3 linked regions of the Caenorhabditis elegans genome follow. The protein of the gene in region 2 interacts with the protein of the main gene of each other region in a pairwise test. Each region holds a gene or a part of one and is shown on either strand. Other genes may lie near its edges. The genes, in order: thum-1, bcmo-1 and brp-1.

What was found.
Region 1: the proteins of bcmo-1 (region 2) and thum-1 interact in a two-hybrid assay, tested with the Caenorhabditis elegans proteins (one large-scale study listed by BioGRID).
Region 3: the proteins of bcmo-1 (region 2) and brp-1 interact in a two-hybrid assay, tested with the Caenorhabditis elegans proteins (one large-scale study listed by BioGRID).

The regions. Positions count from the first base shown.
Region 1 is NC_003283.11:2,670,237-2,675,657, reverse strand, and holds thum-1 (THUMP domain-containing protein), read right to left. Parts: upstream 2,673-5,421; 5' UTR 2,658-2,672; coding exon 2,611-2,657; intron 2,563-2,610; coding exon 2,082-2,562; intron 2,029-2,081; coding exon 1,866-2,028; intron 1,807-1,865; coding exon 1,685-1,806; 3' UTR 1,491-1,684; downstream 1-1,490. Other genes in the region: kel-8 (BTB domain-containing protein), read right to left, coding at 4,135-4,194.
Region 2 is NC_003280.10:12,828,503-12,834,473, reverse strand, and holds bcmo-1 (Beta,beta-carotene 9',10'-oxygenase), read right to left. Parts: upstream 3,799-5,971; 5' UTR 3,768-3,798; coding exon 3,558-3,767; intron 3,513-3,557; coding exon 2,682-3,512; intron 2,620-2,681; coding exon 2,448-2,619; intron 2,273-2,447; coding exon 2,169-2,272; intron 2,121-2,168; coding exon 2,003-2,120; intron 1,956-2,002; coding exon 1,801-1,955; 3' UTR 1,757-1,800; downstream 1-1,756. Other genes in the region: Y46G5A.23 (FIP (Fungus-Induced Protein) Related), read left to right, coding at 5,511-5,649, 5,697-5,884.
Region 3 is NC_003281.10:12,017,630-12,026,464, reverse strand, and holds brp-1 (uncharacterized protein), read right to left. Parts: upstream 5,914-8,835; coding exon 5,836-5,913; intron 5,149-5,835; coding exon 4,969-5,148; intron 4,912-4,968; coding exon 4,666-4,911; intron 4,322-4,665; coding exon 3,875-4,321; intron 2,937-3,874; coding exon 2,729-2,936; intron 2,676-2,728; coding exon 2,485-2,675; intron 1,598-2,484; coding exon 1,289-1,597; 3' UTR 1,144-1,288; downstream 1-1,143. Other genes in the region: Y79H2A.12 (Serpentine Receptor, class BC (Class B-like)), read left to right, coding at 797-906.

The sequences.
Region 1 (5,421 bases), on a different chromosome or scaffold from region 2:
GCGTGGGAAAGCCGTGTACTCCACACACGGACAACGAAATTTAGTTTTACAACTAAAATCGAACCGCGACGCGACACGCAACGCGCCGTAAATCTACCCCAGATATGGCCGAGCCAAAATGGCCTAGTTCGGCAAAACCCTTACATTTCAATTTATGAAGGAAGCCAGAATTCCGTGTAAAAATTAGAGAATTTTTTTTTTCGATCATTTTGTTTTTCAAATTTCATAAAATGAAGGTGTCGTTTTTAAGAGTACCAGTTCTCGGGCCGTGATGATATTACGGGAACACAAAATTCTGAGAATGCGTACTGCGCAGCATATTTGACGCGCAAAACATCTCTTAGCGAAAACTACAGTAACTCTTTAAATGACTACTGTAGCGCTTGTGTCGATTTACGGGCTCGATTTTTTAAAATGATTTTCTTTTCGAAAAAAATCTACTGGATTTTAATATTCTATAGACTCGGAAATGGAGCCCGTAAATCGACACACCAGCGCTACAGTAGTCATTTAAGGGGTTACTGTAGTTTTCGCTACGAGATATATTTTGCGCGTCAACTATGTTATGCATGCGCCAAAATTTCAGTCTGCAGAATATTACCCAAAACCGACATTTTGTAATTTTTGCGCCAAGAATACTGTGCCCTGGTCTCGGCACGACAAATTTTTGTTGAATGCGAAAGAGTTCTGTAGTTTTAAAATTTCAATGCGGCGGCGGGGTTGTAATCGTTTTTTATAGGTTTTTTGTAGTTGAATTTTTATCGAAAAGCTATAAAAATCGACGAAAATCCGGCAGCAACGAAAGTTCCAAACTACAGTACTCCTTAAAAGCGCACACCTATTCGCATTTGACAGAAATTTGTCGTGTCGAGACCAGGGTACCGTATTTTTGGCGTAAAATTAAGAGAATTTCAGAAAAATCACGTGGTGTCAGAATGCCCCATAACGGTTTGATCTACAAAAATGCGGGAATTTGGACGCAGACTTCTCAATTGATTTTGCATGGTTAAGAACGTGCAGATGGCGTCACATTTTTTGGTGGAAAAAATCCCGCATTTTTTGTAGATCAAACCGTTATGGGACAACCTGACACCATGTGAAAATTGCAATAAACGGGTAAAAAGACGCACAGCATTTCACACAAATGATTATTGTAAAAATATTTCGTTCGTGGCGAGACCTTTTTCACAAACAATTTACAATAGTCCAAAAAATTTCAGCATACTGGAAAACCAGGCCAGATTGAATGCTCCCGAGTTTCGGCGGGGGGTGCGTGTAACTACTCGGTTTGTTTGACAATTTGGAAGAGCTGCGAGAGAGCGAAATAGTGTTGATTTTGGGGAGTGCGCAGAACGGGTGAGCTAGATTTTCGGGTTGGTTGCACGTTTTTTTTCTTGCTCGGTTGTGCATGAGACGCGCGCGAGCAAGGGTCGACCTGAGTTTTTGACACGTCACAGTTATAGATACCATGCATTTAAAAAATAATTAACAATCGAATCTCAAATTTCATGTATTTTAACAAATAAATAGCCAAAGTATTTTAACAGAACAAATGAAAAAAACAAAAAAAATTCGGTGCCTCATGCTGGAATCGAACCAGCGACCTTCTGTTTACTAGACAGACGCTCTGCCACTGAGCCAATGAGGCGCTGGGTGAAAGGGGGAAAAAGGTCGAAGAAGAGACTTATGTCGCTGCCGCTGCCGGCGTCGCACGAAGACTATACTTTCGGCGGTCGTAAAATTGCCGGCACACGCCAACCATAATTGTCGTACGAGATACTTGAACGAAGAATGTGACGTCGGCGTCTGGAATCATTGATTTTTTGATTTTTTTGAAATTTTTTCAGATTTTTAGAGACACTAACGATTTAGGCTAACTCTCGCAGTCGGAGCCAGCGCACAAACGGCGTCATCGACCATTTGGAGCACGGAATTCTTCGCCACAGAATCGTTATTTCTCGCTTTAAATTCCACGGAATACGTGGGAAGTTTGCCAGTGCCGTCTGCCTTCAATGTGTCGGAGATTACCTGAAAAATTACTTTTTTTTATTTTATTAATTAATTTAATTAAATAAAAGCACCTTCATCAAAACTTCATTCATTTTTGAAAGATCCACAGCTAAAGTATGCTCCACCGGGTAAACTCGTTGCAAAAACCTGCAACGCGGAGCTTTTTGCGTCAGCTCGACCATTTTTTCGGCTAAAAGTTGAATATTCGCGTTTTTCACGCTCACAAAAATGCAATTCTTCACTCCCGTCGGTCTTTGAATGCATCTTCTCTCTTTTTTCACGAAATTTCCCGGCTTCGGCTGCCTCTGATCATCACAAGCCTTTTTCAACGCATCGGCAATGTCTTCATCGGAATCTTCAGCTTCTGCTGGATTTCCGGGTGCTTCTGAGCCTTGTGGAGCAGCTTCTGGTGCTTTAAGAGAGATTCCATTCGCCGGGTCTTCGAGAAGCTCGTCAATAATACTGTAGGCTTCTTGTAGGGCCTGCTTTTCGTGGCCTTCGCAGGAAAAGAATAGTCCGGTCACTCCGGCTTCCACAGATTTTTGTTTAACTCTGAAATTGTCTTAGAATAGTTTTTTTTTCTCAAATTTTAGCTCTCACTTTTGATTCCATCGGTTATGCTTTCGTTTTCTGTCGTTATCTGCCATTTTCAGTGATTTTTTCTGGAAAAATTGAAATTTTTGAATGAAAATTATTGTTTTTGAAGTTTTTTAACGAAAAATCAACGAAAAATGCGAAAAAAACACATAAAAACAATTAAAAACAAAAAAAAACAATTAATATTCCCTCCAACTTCTCTAAATCTCTTCTCTCTTGCACGTAACCACAGAGCGCGTTTGCACACCTTTAATTGCAGAGTCACCACCACTTTATGTGAAACAAACTACGAAAAAGAGGCGGTTCTTTACAGCGAAACTTGAAAAGAGCAGCCTCACTTGATAATTAGATGAAAAAATTTTGAATATACATTTACTATTTTGACGGAAACGCTGGAATTTGCGAAAATTTCGTGATGGCGTGCAAAATGACCCGCACCTTTTTCCGGTATTCTTCTTCTAGAAAATATATATTTCCTGAAAAAAAAGCTGAAATTCACAATTTTTCGAGCAATTTTTGATGTATAATAAGTATATATCCCGAACAATTTACCAGTTTTTTCCCGATTCACCAGTAAATTTGCTTCACATTTGAACTGAACTATAGGTTATCTCGAGATTTTTATCTATGTACCATGTGTTGCGACATTACGAAAAAAACGAGTTCCGACACAAAGGCCATGCAATTAGGTAGTAAATTGGGTGACTAACTGTGTGACGCGGCTATTATGGGTACGCAGAAAAATCCACGTGGAAACGCGCTCCACTGCCAATAGGAAATTCTCGGCCCCCGCACCATGACCCGCTAGGTGTTTGGCGGCAAAATAGTACATTCGAACGTTTTGGATTAGTTATGCCGATTTCGCCGGTTTCCAAGAATTTTTTGCCATTTTTTTCCTGTTTCAAATTTCCCGTGGTTTTAATGTTTTTAGGCCAAATTGGTGTTTTTAGGCCAAAATGACGAATTTCTGATTACCCTCATAAATTGAAATGGAAGAGTTTGCCAAACTAGGCCATTTTGGCTCGGCCATTACTGGGGTAGATTTACGGCGAGTTGAGTGTCGCGCCGCGGCTCGATTTTAGTTGTAAAACTAAATGCATTTGTCCGTGTGGAGTACACGATTTACCCACGCGTTTTCCTTCGGACGATTATCAATGGAGCGCAAAAAATTCAATGAGGAAGGGTAGAACCCCGTTATTTCGGCAATTTTCCTGTTTTAATGATTTTTAGGCCAAAATCACGGGGTTCTGTCTTTCCTCAGAGAATTTTTCGCGCTCCATTGACAATCGCCCGGCGGACAACGCGTGTTAAAATCGTGTACTCCACACGGACAAATAGACTTAGTTTTACAACTAAAATCGAGCCGCGACGCGACACGCAACGCGCCGTAAATCTACCCCACTTATGGCCGAGCCAAAATGGCCTAGTTTGGCAAACTCTTCCATTTCAATTTATGAGAGGGAAGCCAGAAATCCGTGGTAGCTTACAAAATGAAATTCCAGAAAAAGTAAAATAGTTACCACCTACCGTATTAGAGCTTGACGGCATAGTTGGCGCCTCCGCGGTAGATCTGTTGAAGGTCCACATGTTTTTTTTTCGTGGTGTGTGTCGCCTGTCAGTCTGGTATTCTAGATGCCAGCTTCTTCCTCTCTCGATTCACTTCCCGCCCCCTGATTTTTTTGTGTGTGTCTGCGCCCCCACAGTGTCTCTCTCAACCTGTCTTGTACGTCCTGCGTCTTTTGTTACAGCTTCTGGTATCTTCTGAATATACCACAGCAGGAGGGGGACAGTCAGTTGATTGGCAGACAAAAACATGGCAATTATTTAGTGACAAGCTTTATGATTGTAGGCTTTAGGGTCTGGAGACTTGGGGATAGGACCCTGAACGGGATGTTTTGTTGAGGATGGGCACTTTGACCTCCAGAAAGCGCGGGAAATTATTGAAATTTGTGACGTCATATGAGTTTATAATGAGGCGCCAGTAGGTCAAACGATTTCTGTAGGTCAAGCCCTGAATAATGTCCGTCACAGTCGGCTGGTGCGTTGGAGCACATTTGATTATATTCAGGCCATTTTGACTCGGCCACGGCTGGGGTCGATTTTTGCCGGAATTGAAAATTTTCGGCAAATCGGCAAAATGCCGGAATTTAAAATTTTCGGCAAATTGGCACATTACCGGAAATGAAAATGTCCGGCAAATCAAGAAATCGCCGGAATTGACAATTTAGGACAAACTGGCAAATTTGCCGGAATTTAAAATTTCCGGCAAATCGGCAAATTGCCATAATTGAAAATTTCCTGCACATCGGCAAACTGGCGGAATAGAAAATTTCCGGCAAATCGGGAACTCGCCGGAATTGACAATTTCCGGCAAATCGGGGAGTTGCCGGAATTGAAAATTTCCGGCAAATCGGCAAACTGGCAAATTGCCGGAGTTGAAAATTTCCGGCTAATCGTGAAATTTGCCGGAATTCAAAATTTCCGGCAAATCGGCAAAATGGCAAATTGCCGAATTTGAAACCTTCCTTTGCCGAACTGCAATTTCCGCTCACCGATTTTCAATGGAGCGCGAAAAACCGCTACTAGAAGCCCGTGATGATGATCTACTGTAGATCAATGTGAAATTTTTCCCGCGTCCGGGCATAGAACAAAAATTTTATTTTTTAAAAACCAGCTTCTCTTCCTCCTAAAATTTCCCTTTTTATCGCCCTACCCCTCCCCCTTCAACCCAGATTTCTCTTATCACCCCCCCCCCCCCCCCATCACTAATTTTCTAATTTTCCTTTCACTTTCATACAGTAAGCGGCAAAAAAT
Region 2 (5,971 bases):
GATGTCTGTTGGCTGGACTTTGACTATTCTTTTGATATTCAAAGAATGAAGTTCATTAGAAAAATATCATATGTCACCGTAATTCTTCCGTATATCCTTATCATTGTGTTACTCATTCGTGGAGTAACCTTGGAAGGCGCCGGTGATGGGCTCAAGTATTTTTTGGCAAGAACGGATTGGGTGGCACTATACAACTTTAAAACCTGGAGCGCTGCGCTGACTCAATTGTGCTTCTCTTTGTCAATTGGTTTTGGTGTTCTCATGAATACTGCATCCTATAACAAACAGAATCATCGATGCTTTCGGGTTAGTTGTAGCGGTTTTTTTTGTAGCAATTGATGAATCAAATGATTTAGGATGCTATTTTCCTAATAATAGGCGACACTGCCATGTCCTTAATCGGTGGAGCCGCTGTTTTTTCAACACTTGGGTATTTGGCCCGAGAACGTGGAGTTACTGTAGATAAAGTCGTGACGGATGGAACGACGCTTGCATTTATCGCCTACCCGGATGCAATGAATCAAATGCCGTTTCCCGGGCTGTGGAGTTTCCTCTTCTTCTTTATGTTGTTCTTGTTGGGGATTAGTACGTTGCTTGGTGGGTACTGTTCATCTGTTAGGCGGCCGACATTTCACGGGTCCGCCGCTGGACCCCAATCGATGTCTGCTGCGTACTAGACATGGGCGTCCAAGAAGCGCTTTATAAAGTTTTTTGCAGTTATTGTCGAGGTGATGTGCACGTGCCTTTGTGACAAGTTTCCTCGACTTCGCGAGAAACGAGTCTTCGTGGTGATTGGAGTCTGTTTCCTTCTTTTCTTGTGTGGTGTCATCCTGACAACTGACGTAAGTTTAAACATTAGCCATAATGCCTCAGACAGTTCAAATTCTTCTCACATTTTCCAGGCTGGAATCTACTGGTTCGCGCTCTTTGACGAGTATGGCTCAGGATTCGGAGCGTTGATATCGGCTACCTCTATGTGCATTATCATTTCCTACATCTATGGAATGCGAAACTTCCGGGCGGATATCGCGTCAATGTTGGGTCGTGGAACGCGAATTTCAAACATTTTCGGCCACAACAGCCCGTATTATGGATTCAATTGGATGTTCATTATGCCGATTTTTGGATGTGTATTGATCTTTTTGACGGCTAACCGAGGCTATCCGTTCAAAGGAGAATCAGCTGTTTATCCAGTTGTTTTTGATGTGAGGACATGCTCATCAATTAAAGAAACTTTTTTTTTTACCTTCAGATCGTCGGATGGCTTTTGGCAGTGTTTCCGTTTATGATGGTCCCGGTAATTGCGTTGTGCACTTATATGGATTTCAAAAAGCGTGGAATTGTAAGCGTTTTTTTTTCGAATTTTTGGCACTTCAACAAAAAACTGCAATTTTCAGCCGATTCGCGGGATGTTCTTGCTCCAAAAGAGCCATCCATCCTACCCAAGAATCTCGAGAGGCTGGTCAGAAGAGAAGCGGAGTGTCGGAGCACAACTCCCATCGTTTGAGCCCGGAGAAGAAGAGTTTAAGAGTCAAGAGCCAGGCTATGGGCCAGTGTGAACAATTTTTTTGGAAATGGATTTACATAAATAACTCGTTTGTGATTTTTAAATAAATGATTTTCAGTGGATACATCAGAGTCAATTTCTAGTACTGGTATGATCAATGTACTACATTGATCATACAGTAACCCTACAAAAATCTTCCCGTACATCCGTACATCAAAAAATGTACGGTAACAGTCTACATGCATATTGAAACAATTTTATTAATTATCATATTTATACATTAGGTACAGTATTCAATTCTTGGGTTTGTAAAAAGCATGAAATCCAAGTGGAATTCTGGCCTCTGGAATCTCAAATCTTGCTGTTTCCTCTAGAGTTTTTGCGTCCAAAATCAGCACAAATGGGACTTGTTTTTCAGAACTGGACATAATTGGAACAATCAGAATTCCTGAAAAAAAAAACTTTTTATAAGTAGATCCTCTTTAAATTGCCTACCATCATCCTCCTCGATGCCCTCGGGATTTGGGACAAAAATGGGCTCCCCGCAGATTTGATGCGGGTTCTCGCGATTCCAAATCAAGTGGTTTCCGAATTTCAAGTCAGCTTTGACAACCTGAATTTATATTGATTTTGCTTAGAAATTTTTTTTGAAAATACCAACCCCAGCGAGATTTCCATCAATTCTTCCAAAAACAGTGGATCCGAAGACGTATCTATATTCTTTCATGTTGATTTTTTCCCAATGATAGCGAGGGAATTCCATGGCTGAAAATTTCAGGATTTTTTGTGGTTCGTAAGAAAACAAAATTTTTCTGTAATATTAAAGTTACGTTACTTCAATTTACTAGATTTTGGAAAGTTTCGAAACATTCCAAAGAGGTTCCACAGTTGGGATCTTTAAAAGGCATCACACAGCCTCAAATATTTTAATAAAACTTACAAGTCTCGCAAACCCGTCTCTCTGTAAGCCTTATCGATCCGTCATCCTGAAGAATTGATGTACATCCACTCGCCCAGGGTACAGACTTGAGGAGATTGTCTCCAGGTTTTGCGGAACTTGAAACTGACATTGGAACTATGACACGTGTGAGGTATGGCAGGAATTTCGCGTCCTGGAAATGTTTTCATTGGGATCATATCTCGTTATTTTAAGGTGGTTAATGTTTAAACTTACATATTGAAATTCTCCGGTCTTCATGTTACTTATCAGCAATGTATCGAACTTCCCTGCATTTTCAATTCTACAGTAATCCATCACTAGACATCCATCTTTCTCGAAAGTGTTGGCATGATGAAATGTAAAGAATGGATTCATTTTCAGCGTCAGCGGTAGTTGCTCTCCAGTTTTCTTGTTCAAAATGAAAATGCTCACATCCTTATCACCATGCCATTCCAAGCAGTCATGGTAGGTTGCACGAACAAACTCGCTCAACAGATACTTCTGAAGATGAAGCCGTACAGGCGACTCGAACATCACTAAATAGTTTTCTGACATTCCAAATGAGTGCATATATGTGGGGTATAGGGGGTCAGATGCCTTGATCTCTCCGATCTTTGAAGTATGCTCCCAGGAGTGATCGTTTTCGGATTTCTGATTCTTCGGGTTCTTAGTAACAGTGAAGACATGTGCAGATTCAGGTCCAAATCGGGATCCAATATTGTAGACGTCCCCGTTTTCATCATAAAGTTGATGGGCGGTGCAAGAGTGGACTGCAACGAATTTCGAAAAATCAGCTGCTTCCAAAGTCTTCAGCGTATCCAAATCAACTCGATACATGTGTGGTGTCTCTGTGCACGCATACAACGAATCCCCAACCGGAGTGAATGCCACGTTGGAATTGTCATGTTTCTCTGAGTGATTCATGAATTCCGAAAAGTATTTCGAGAAAATAGTCTTGCATGGGTCCGGGAAGCTTAGAGTACCAAATGTTCCAGCCACTATTCTCTGCGCTTCCACAGTCTTGGTGTAGGCTTCCGATTCCAGGTATCGAGCTGAGTAGAACATCTGGAATGTTGGCACATTTTTAGAATATATTTTACAGTTTCCTACCTTTCCATCCTCAAAATGATATCTCTGCATAAAACCGAGTCCATCGAACCAATGCTTGTATTCTTCCTCTCCAACGGTGAACATTCCTGGACCATTACGAAGCATTGTTCCCGTTAGGTAACTTGGCACTGAGCCAACTTTTTTGCACTCTTTGGGTTCTGGGACATTCTCAAAGTTGTGGAATAGACGGGGGAATCCTTCAGCTTCCATTTTTTAGAACAATAAAATGTCAACAAAATGAAAAGAAAATATAGAGTTAGTTCACACAATTTTTTACTTCTTTATATACACCTAAATCTTATCTCCCACTATATTATTTTTTAACTACAAACACAATGTAGTACCCTTGTTTCAAGAGAAACAGACAGTTATACAGTAACCGGACACATTGTGTCCATAGAAAGAGATTGGAGACGGCAGACATTATCACAAAGGAGTTTGTGATGAGTTTTTGAAATGGGAGATCGAATTTTTGAAAACAAGAGGAAAATTGTTGTTTGTGTTCATATGTATGTCGACTTTGTTTTAGGTGCTCAACAAATCTCATCCTTAGGATTTTTGACATAAATGACACCAAAAAATATCACATTTTAAAAAGTTATGAAATTTTTCTAAACTTTTTTTTTGATTATTTAAATTTGTCAACAATAGTAAGCAAATACAACGGCTGAATTATGCTTGAATTCCCTAGCACATAAATGACTTAAATTCGGTTTTTTTTCCTGTGATTCATTTTTTTCTTGTTATGTACATATATATTTCGAAAAATCGTTGTTAAAATTTCTGGCTTTTTCCCACAACAAATTAGTTTTGAAATGTTAATTTATTTTAGGTCAACTTTACAGTATCAGCGGATCAAGTTTTCTTTTCGGGAAAAACAATTTCTGAGCATTTGCTAAAAATTGTTTAGAGTTATATAATAAAAATATACATGGCAATTTGAATACAGTGCATTTTTCTTTCCACTTCTACGACTTTAAAGGGGGCGCATTTATGCGCGATGGTCTCGACACGCGCCACCCATTGATTTTTGGGGTGCGTGGCGAGACCAATGCCGGGACCATCGCGCGTAAATGCGCCCCCTTTAAAGTCGTAGAAGTGGAAAAAATACACTGTATGTCATTGTTTTCTTTTAAATTTAAAAATACTTGTTTTATTTATAAGTTTTAAACGATTTTCGAGGCACTTGGGGGTTTCATCATATTGAACGGTATTTTTATTTTTCATTTTTGATACTTCGCAGCAAGTATTTGTATACGTTATACATATATCTTTCATTAATCCCCCATATGTGTTTTAATATCGTAAATGGTACACAATAGTTTAGTGCATAGATAGAAATCTTTTGCTTGCTTCATCAATTTTCATAGAAATAGAACAAACCTATTCATTACCACATATTTTTTACTAGAATTTTTTTTCTTTTCTGTCATGAAAATGCATTAAAAAATATTATGCAACTCATGGAGGAGCATTTAAAAAGCCACAAAACTGATGTGTTCGTTGCTTCTGATGGTATTATTATCCGAATCGATCTGCAATAACTTTGCACTAGTCACTGGTGATGATGAGAGATGTTTCAAAAAGCTTAAACTTGATCGTTCAACAGATGGCCTTGGTGGAGCTGGCGGTTTCAGGCAGAGGTGGGCGAGATGGCCTTGGGAGTCACGGGTGCCTGTAGGGACAAGGAGGTAAAGAATGATGTTGTGAAAAAGCTCAAATATCAAAGTTTCTGGTCGAGAAGGTCGTGTTCTTACTTCTCAGAATCTTATATCAATATTTTTCTGAAAAAATTCAAAGTGCAATAAATCGTCATCATTTAACAACTGTTCCGCTGATTCCAAGATACATAGAAAGAAAAACCTATTCTTTCAAAAAAACATACATTTTACAACTCCATATTGCGGAGGTTGGCTATAAAACTGCTCTCAGCGCTCGATATTTTGCAGAAAAATGAAGCATTTACTTTTGTTTTCGATTTTCCTGGTGGCCATCGTCAGCAGTAGTATCACATTTGATCATTCTGAAGACTGCGACGATGATGATTATGGAAATGATGGTGGTATTGTGCTTGGTGGTGGTGGTGGAGGAGGTGAGCATTTTTTAGTCCTTTGATGCTCTAATTTTTGAATATTTCAGATTCTTGCGAAGACGGAGGTGAGCAACAAGTCGTGCTGATCGGCCAAGTTTTGGGTGGCGGCGGTGGTGGTGGAGGTCGCCGTCATCACAGAGGTCATCGTCATGGAGGTGGAGGACACAGACATGGTGGTCATCGAGGTGGTGGTGGAGGACGTGGGATGGTAATTGGCGCCGAGAGACCTCAATAATTGAACTGTTATAAGGGAAATGAAGTCGTATTTTTTTAGTATAAATTTTTGATAACTGCAAATATGTCAATTCTACAATTTCTCTTG
Region 3 (8,835 bases), on a different chromosome or scaffold from region 2:
TCGCCATTTTGCCGATTTGCCGGAAATTTAAATTTCGCCCTTTTCCCGATTTGCCGGAAATTTCAATTCCGGAAATTTACAGATTTGCCGGAAATTTCAACATCGGCAACTTGACAATTTTCGGGAAAGTTCAATTTCGCCCTTTTCCCGATTTGCCGGAAATTTCAATTTCGCCATTTTGCCGATTTGCCGGAAATTTCAATTTCGCCATTTTGCCGATTTGCCGGAAATTTCAATTCCGGCAATTTACAGATTTGCCGGAAATTTCAACATCGGCAACTTGACAATTTTCGGGAAAGTTCAATTTCGCCCTTTTCCCGATTTGCCGGAAATTTCAATTTCGCCATTTTGCCGATTTGCCGGAAATTTCAATTTCGCCATTTTGCCGATTTGCCGGAAATTTCAATTCCGGCAATTTACAGATTTGCCGGAAATTTCAACATCGGCAACTTGACAATTTTCGGGAAAGTTCAATTCCGGCAATTTGCCAGAAATTTCAATTTCGCCCTTTTCCCGATTTGCCGGAAATTTCAATATCGCCATTTTGCCGATTTGCCGGAAATTTCAATTTCGCCATTTTGCCGATTTGCCAAAATATCGAAAATGACGTCACTCATTTGCGCGGGAATTCAAATGTTTCAAATTTAATTCGGTCGTTTCTATGAATTTTGAAATATGTAAAAATTCACTAAAAGTTTAGGACATTTTTGAAAAAATTTTCACAGTCATATTTGGTCATATATTCTAGGCGTATATTCTGTAATTTAAAGCGAAAAATTGTTTAAAAATTTTTCAGTATCAATAATCAAATTCATTCTAATCAATCGATGTTACGTCTATGCAAAACGAATCGAGAATGGGATGCTGGTTAGACAGTCGGATTTAACAAATGTGATGAAGTTTTGAAAGTTCCTTGGAAACACGTGGTGCCAGGCTGTCCCACCACGGTTTGATCTACAAAAAATGCGGCAATTTTTTGCCAAAAAAAGTGTGACGTCAGCACGTTCTTAACCATGCGAAATCAGTTGAGAACTCTGCCGCATTTTTTGTAGATCTACGTAGATCAAACCAACATGGGACACTCTGACACCACACGTTCTGAAATAAATACTTTTTTTTTCTTGATTTGCAAATACAAATTCAACAGCGAATAATTTTATTTACAAACCTGCACGCGTAAAAGATGGGATGATGATGATGATGGAAAATAATCGGGGGAGGACGAATTGTATAACAATTATTACATTCGAAAATTATTTTTTTTTAGCTCAGCTCAAAATTAAAATTCTCAAACAATCAGTGGTTTCAATGGTTTCTGAGTGGTTGCTGCTGTCTCAGCCCCTGCTGCCTCGAGAGCCTCACGTGGTGGATTGTTCTCGAAGAATTTGAGAACAGCTGCGAATGGATCCAACTCCTTCTCATGATTATCTTCAGATGATGTATGTTCAGCATCTTCTTCAGATTCCATTGGTTCAGGTGTTGTGGTGCGTTCTTCGATTCTTGGGAAGCTGTCCTCAATCACAATTGCTCCCTTTCCTTCGAGTTCTGGCTCTTCGGTGGTTGATGGGGTGGCTGAGTTGAGCTCTTTGTTGGCCGCCTGGAATATTACTCATTATGCCTCAGTGAGCACAAAACAGGGGTGGGCCGGAAATTGCCGTTCGGCAAATTTGGCAAATTGCCGGTTTGTCAATTTGCCGGAAATTTTGATTTTCGGAAAATTGCTGATTTGCCGTTTACCGAACATCAATTTGCCGGAAATTTTTAGAGAAATTTTTTATAAGACGGAAACACTTGCCTTTTTGAAATTCAAATTTTTGCCGGTTTGCCGATTTGCCAGAAATTTTAATTCCGGCAAATTGTGGTTTTGCACTTTTTTTTGGCAATTTCAGAACTTCAGAATTACAATATTAGTCGGCAAAATTGTACCGTGCCGACTATATATAAATAAACAATCTTTCTAAACACTTCCGGCAAATTGATATCCGGCAACTCGGCAAACCGGCAGAGAGCCGGAATTGAAATTTTCGGCAAATAGGTGAATTGCCCGAATTAAAACTTTTGGCAAATCGGCAAACTGCTGGAACCAGATCCGCAAATTGCCTGAACTTAAATTTTTGACAAATTGCCGAAATAGAAAATTTCCTGCAAATCGGCAAACTGGCAAAGTGCCGAAAATGAAAATTTCCGGAAAATTGGCAAACTGCCGGTATTGTAATTTCCGGTCAATCGGAAAATCGACAGATTGCCGGAACTCAAACTTCCGGCAAATTGGCAAATTGCCGGAATTGAAAATTTTCGGCAAATTGGCAAACCGGCAAGTTGCCGAAATAGAAAATTTCCTGCAAATCGGCAAACTGGCAAAGTGCCGAAAATGAAAATTTCCGGCAAATCGGCAAAATTTCCGGCAAATCGGCAGCAAATTGGTAAACCGGCGATTCGCCGATTTGCCGATTTGCCGAACCAACATGTTCCTGATGTACAAACCTCTGAATTCTTTTGCTCATCGAAAGCTGAGAAGATATCTCTGAGAATAGTATCAGAAACCTCAGCGGCATCCTCTGGCATTGGTGTGCTGCTCGTGACAACTGCTGGGAATGCAGTGTTGATGGGTGAAGCTGTGACGTCAGCAGTTCCAGATGCAGCTTCTGGAGCTGGAGTTGGAGTGATTGCTGTCCCTGATACAAGATTAATTGAAATTTTTGGGCTTTTTGCAAAAAAAACAACTAACAGATTTGACGAGTTGGTGCGTTGACTGGAATGTTCTGCGACTTCTTCTGAAGTTCCTCGTAGATCTTATCGTGAACTGATGGTTGTGGGATTGGTTGGAAGAATTGTGGAGCCTGTGGGAAACGGTCCTCAGGTTGTTGGGTCTGTTGTGGTTGCTGCTGATGCTGCTGTTGTTGTTGGGATGGGAAGAAGAATTGTTGGGGTGGTTGCTGGAATTTTTTTGATGGTTTTTTGACAAAAAAAATAGTGAAAATTTTTATCGGTTTCAGATCCCGAAAACTAAGCAAAAAACAGAGGTGGGCGGCAAACGATTTTTTTCGGCAAGCCGGCGAATTGCCGGAATTCACAATCTCTGGCTTATCGGCAAGTTGCCGGAATTAAGATTTTCCGGCACACCGGCGAAGTGCCGGAACTGAAATTTCCGGCAAGTCGACAAACTGCCGGAATTGAAAATTTCAGGCAAATCGGCAAATTGCAGGAATTGATAACTTCCGGCACATCAGCAAATTGCCGATATTAAAAATTTCCGGCAAATCGACAAACTGCCGGAATTGATAATTTCAGGCAAATTGCCGGAATTAAAAATTTCATGCAAATTGACAAATTTCCGGAATTGAAAATTTCCGGCAAATCGACAAACTGCCGGAATGGAAAATTTCCGGCAAACCGGCGAACTGCCGGAATTCATAATTTCAGGCAAATCTAAAAATTGCCGGAATTGAACATTTCCGGCAAATCGGCAAATTGCCAAAATTTACAATTTCCGGCAAATCTGCAAAATGCCGGAATTGATAATTTCAGGCAAATCGGAAAACTGTCGGAATTGAAAATTTCAGGCGAATCGGCAAATTACCGGAATTGGAAATTCCCGGAAAACCGACAAGTTGCCGGAATCAAAAGTTTCCGGCAAATCGGCTAACCGGCAAATTGCCGATTTTCAGTTGCCAATTTACTCAAAAAAAATTTGCCGAACTGCAATTGCCGCCCACCCCTGATCCAAATACGACGAAAAATTTTCGAAGTTTTTTGAAAAAAATTATGAAAAAAAAAAGCAAAAATTCAAATTTTTCAAAATGGAAAATGTGTCTAAAATCCAAATGCCAAAAAATTCGTAGCCCATCATCTAAAAATCTACAAATCGCCTTACCTGCCAGACAGTTGGTCTCTCCCATTGTTGCTGATGCATCATTGGTCTTGGCCAGAATCTCTGTCTCTGCTGCTCCTGTGGCTGTTGCTCCTGCTGTTGCCATTGGGCCTGGGCCTGAGCCTGCTGAGTCTGAGCCTGCATCTCCAACTGATGTTGTTGCCAGAAAGCTTGAGCACGCTGCTGTTGAGCATAGGTCTGTTGAGCCTCGTACTGACGACGTTGTTCCTCTTCATAGCGGGATCTCTCGGCCCATTGCTGACGGGCGGCCTCTTCCTGCATCTGTTGCTGTTGTTGTTGCATGTAGGCCATCTTCATTTGTTGTTGTTGGTAGTAGGCGGCTTGAAGTCTTCTCATTCTCATCATTCGCATTGCCATCATTTGTTGCATGTACATACGTTCCTCCATTATTTGTTGGAATTGTTGGCGGGCCTCCATCATTCGGTATTGCTGAAAAAATTGCTTTTATTGATTTATTAGACTCAAAATTGTCTGAAAATATCGAATTTCTTAATGAAACTTCTTAAAAACCTCTTGAAAAAAAAGTTATGGCAGCTCAAAAAATGGCCTAAAATTTTTAAAGCAGTTTAGCTGGCTTGAGGCGGGTAGGCATTCCCTTCAGGCAGGCCCTGGAACCGCGCCTGTCTATGGAAGCCCTACATATGCATATATATATATATATATATATATATATATATATATATATATATATATATATATATATATATATTTATATATATATATATATACAAATCCATATTTATGTATATATATGGTATAATTTGGTAACTAACCTCAATCTCATCTGGATGAAGTGGGCGATCCAAATTGGTAGAGGACTTCTCCTCAACTGATCCATCAACAGTTGTCTTCTTTTGACCTTCATTATTCGAAATATCCTCCACTACAACTACCCGAGCCAAGGGAATTGCCATCATTCCTGGATTTTCCGCAGAGTTTATAGTCTTTTCAGATGATCCATCAATTGGTTGAGCTAGAAGTGCCTCCATTTGTGGCTTGTTCACGGATGTTTCGGTTTTCTGGAATATCAATTAATTAAGTTTAAAAAAGCTTAAAATTAAAAAAAAACCCTGTACCTTGAAGAGATCAGGAGTAGCGGCGAGGAAGTAGAAACCGATGAGTGTCACCAGCAAAAGACACGTGGCAAAGAACATGCAATGGAAGCATGCTCTCATCGCCTGGAAAGCTGGCGATGGAGCAGGCTTCATTGGTGGAGCCGGCATTGGGATCACTGTGGGCTGGAGGACTGTGAACACCTGGAATAATTCAGATTTTGTTGATATTTCTACTAACGTTATTATTATTATTGTTACCGAATATATTCTTTGTGAGAAAATTTGAATTTCGCGCCAAAAAATGTTCTCAGAAAATTTGAATTTCGCGCCAAAAATTATTCTCGGATAATTTAAATTTCGCGGCAAAATACGTTTTCTCATAAAGTTTGAATTTCGAGTCAAATGTATTTTCTCATAAAACTTTAAATTAGCGCCAAAAAAATTTCTAATAAAATTTGAACTTCGCGCCAATATACGTTTTCTCAGAAAATTTGATTTTCCAGCTAAAATTTTTTTGTGAAAAATTTTGAATTTCGAGGCAAACTGTTTTTACACGTGGTGCCGGGCTGCCCCATCACGGTTTGATCTACAAAAAATGCAGGAACTTTTTTGCCCAAAAAACATGACGTCAGCCATGTTCTTAACCATGCGAAATCAGCTGAGAAGCCTGCGTCTGAAATCCCGCATTTTTTGTAGATCTATGTAGATCAAGCCGAAATGGGACACTCTGACACTACGACTTGTTACTCATAAAATTTGTAATTCGCGCCAAAACGTGATCTCTTAAAAAAAATTCGAATTTCCAGCTGAAATTTTTTTATGAGAAAATTTGAACTTCGCACTAAAAACAGTTCTCAGAAAATTTGAATATTTTTAATAGAAACTCACTTTTGGATCGATCTTGATAGACTCCTTCTCAACGTCCTCACTCCCGTGAACGCCGGGCTGTGCGCCTAGTTTGGTCATCTGTAAATGATTCTTGATTAGATATTCGAGTAAAAGACAAAAACAAAAAAAAGAGAAGAGATCAATGCGCACAATAGGAGAATTAGAGAAGCGGCTCACTTTCTCTCGCGGAGCATTAAACATTTTTGACAGGTTGGCATTCACGACTCTTCCGCGCGGTGTAGGAAAATGAACAAAAAATGATCTCCCGATGTTTTGATAGGAAGTGACACCAAGTTTTGAAGAAACACACAAAACGAGTTTTTAAAATAGCCGGCCACTTGGTTACTGTACACTTGAGAGAGGAATGACGTCATTCGTTTTTGTTTTTGACCAGAAAATCTCGATCAGATGATGATAAAGATTTCTGTGAAAAATTTTAAAATGATAAAGGATACTTTGATTTTTGATTTCTTTTCCATTTTTTGCAGCAAGGGTTTAAGGGCAGAGTATAATATACAAAGTTTGATGGTTCAGGTAAAAATAGGTAGGATGTGTTAATTCAAATGCGGAGGGTTTATTTTTCTCTTATTATAAATATTAATGTGCCTGCATACAAGGTGGAGTACGGCCTAAAATGAACAAATATCATAGTAAAGCTATTAATATAATTTCGGAACATTTTTCATTTTGAGTTAAAAAAAAAGTTCTGATTCCAGTTTTATGCTTTAATTATTTTTGAAATATTCATACATGCTGCAGATTCTTCGAAAAAATGTCTACATTTTTTTGAAATGTTTTAGTATGATTTTTGGTATTTTTAGCGCTCTGCATGATTTTTAAAAAATGTGAGTTATAATAATTTTTTTTGTAAATTTTGTGATTTTTAGTTAGTTAAACTCATATCGAGAACTGTCTTAAAACGAAAAAATTGGTGAGAAAAAGCCCGTTTGCTCTAAAAAATATTCATTTAGAACTAGTATTGGTGGGCGGCAAACTGCCGGTTTGCTGATATTCCGGAATTTTCGATTTTCGGCAAATTTCCGATTTGCCGGAAGTTTTTAGAGGGCTTTTTTATGAGACTGATAGTGAAACACGAAATTTCGAACAAAAAAAAAATGCAAAACCACAATCTGTCCGACAATTGCCGTTTTTCTGGAAAATGCGGCAAATCGGCAATTTGCCGGTTTACCGACTTGCTGAAAATTTCAATTCCGGCAATTCGCCAATTTGGCGGAAAAATTATTTACCGCCCAACCCTGATACATGCAACACTAACAGGGAAGTATGTATATACAGAAGTTTACGATACATACCGTATTTCCTCTATTAGTTTTGCACCCGCTTGCTCAACTTTGACAGCTCATATCTCAGTAGTTCTTTGTTCCATAGAAAAGTTGTCAACTGATAAAATTTTTGTGAGATGTTTTTCTATAGTTTGTAGTTTGTTAATTATTTATATGTTCAAAACAAAATGAGATATGAGCTGTCAAAGTTGAGCAAAGGGGTGCAAAACTAAAAGAGGAAATACGGTATATTCCAAATTATTTTTGTCCTATTATAAGTTATTATCGGTTTTTAATGTGGTTGCCACAATTTTAAATATTCTCCGATCAGAATTACAGTATTCCCCTCCCCCCCCCCCCACCTACGCTTGCCTACTTATTTTATTATTTCTTATTTCTCCCCCACTCTTGTGGGGGCACTCTTGTGGGGGCAGAGTCTCCTCCACCTTACTCAATTGACCGTTTCAAATGTCTTTCATTTTTCACATGAAAGAAAATTGTTGAAGGTTACCCTTATATTTTGACAAAAACATCACCTTCAACTGGCAAAAGAACAGAGTAGAAACGGTTCCACTTTGGGGGTTCAAGGTTAGGTTTTGTCTCGTATTGGAGGAAAATAACAGAACAAAAAAAAATATTTAGATGGAATTTGAAAATGTTTAGGTTTTTTATGAAATTTTGCAATTTTCAATAGACCAACAAAAGAGTTAATACGGTATTTACTTACTTATCAAATCCTATTACTATAAGGGATGTTACTATTTGAGGAGCATAATATTTAGTTTACCGTATTAGTATTCCCCCCCCCCCCCCAATTGTTCAACTTTGACAGCTTATATCTCAGTTATAGTTAGTTCTATTTAAAAATTGTCAACTAACAAAATATTTGTTAGCTCGTTTTCTATAATTTCTTGGTTAACAATATATTGATATCATTAAAATGAACCAAGATATAACGTTTCAAAGTTAAATAGTCGGGTGCAATACTAATAGAAGAAAAACGGTAAGTTGGATGGCCAACGTTAAGCATTAAAGGGTAAGATGAAAAAGTGGTAACTAAAAAACTAGTTTCAAAAGAAAATTATTTAAAAACGTCCTTCCCCCATGAAAATAATTGAAACAAGGTAAAATTGAAAAAGAGAAGAAGAATCGAATGCGTCTCGACGCCCCGGGGGCGTCCAAAGTGAAAAAAGAAGAGGTCAGTTGGCGAAGAAAGGAAAAAGTGGGCGGAGTCTTTATCACACAGGTCTTTGGCAACGATTTTTGGAAGAGAGGGGGGGGGGGGGAAATAATACAATAATTTCAGTGAAATCTAAAGAAAACCAGTTATGAGAGGTGTTGGAGGAATTGCAATGTTCAAGGGCTCTTGGTGTTAAGGTAAATATGGTGCTTGCTCACAGAAAAAACGAGTTTATTTTATTTATTTAAAATTTTTGAAAAAGTATTGGAGGAAATCATATATGGCTCTAAAGAAATCGTTTTCTTCCGGCAAGCGACAAATCGGCAATTTGCAGAAAATAAAAATCTCTGGCAAACCGGCAAGTCGGTCAATTGCCGGAACTGCAAATTCACGGCAAATCTGCAAACCGGCAATTTGCCGAAAATAAAAATTACTGGGAAACCGGCAACTTGCCGAAAATGAGATTTTCCGGCGAATCGGCAAACCGGCAATTCGCCGAAAATGAAATTTTCCGGCTAATCGGCAAACCGGCAATTG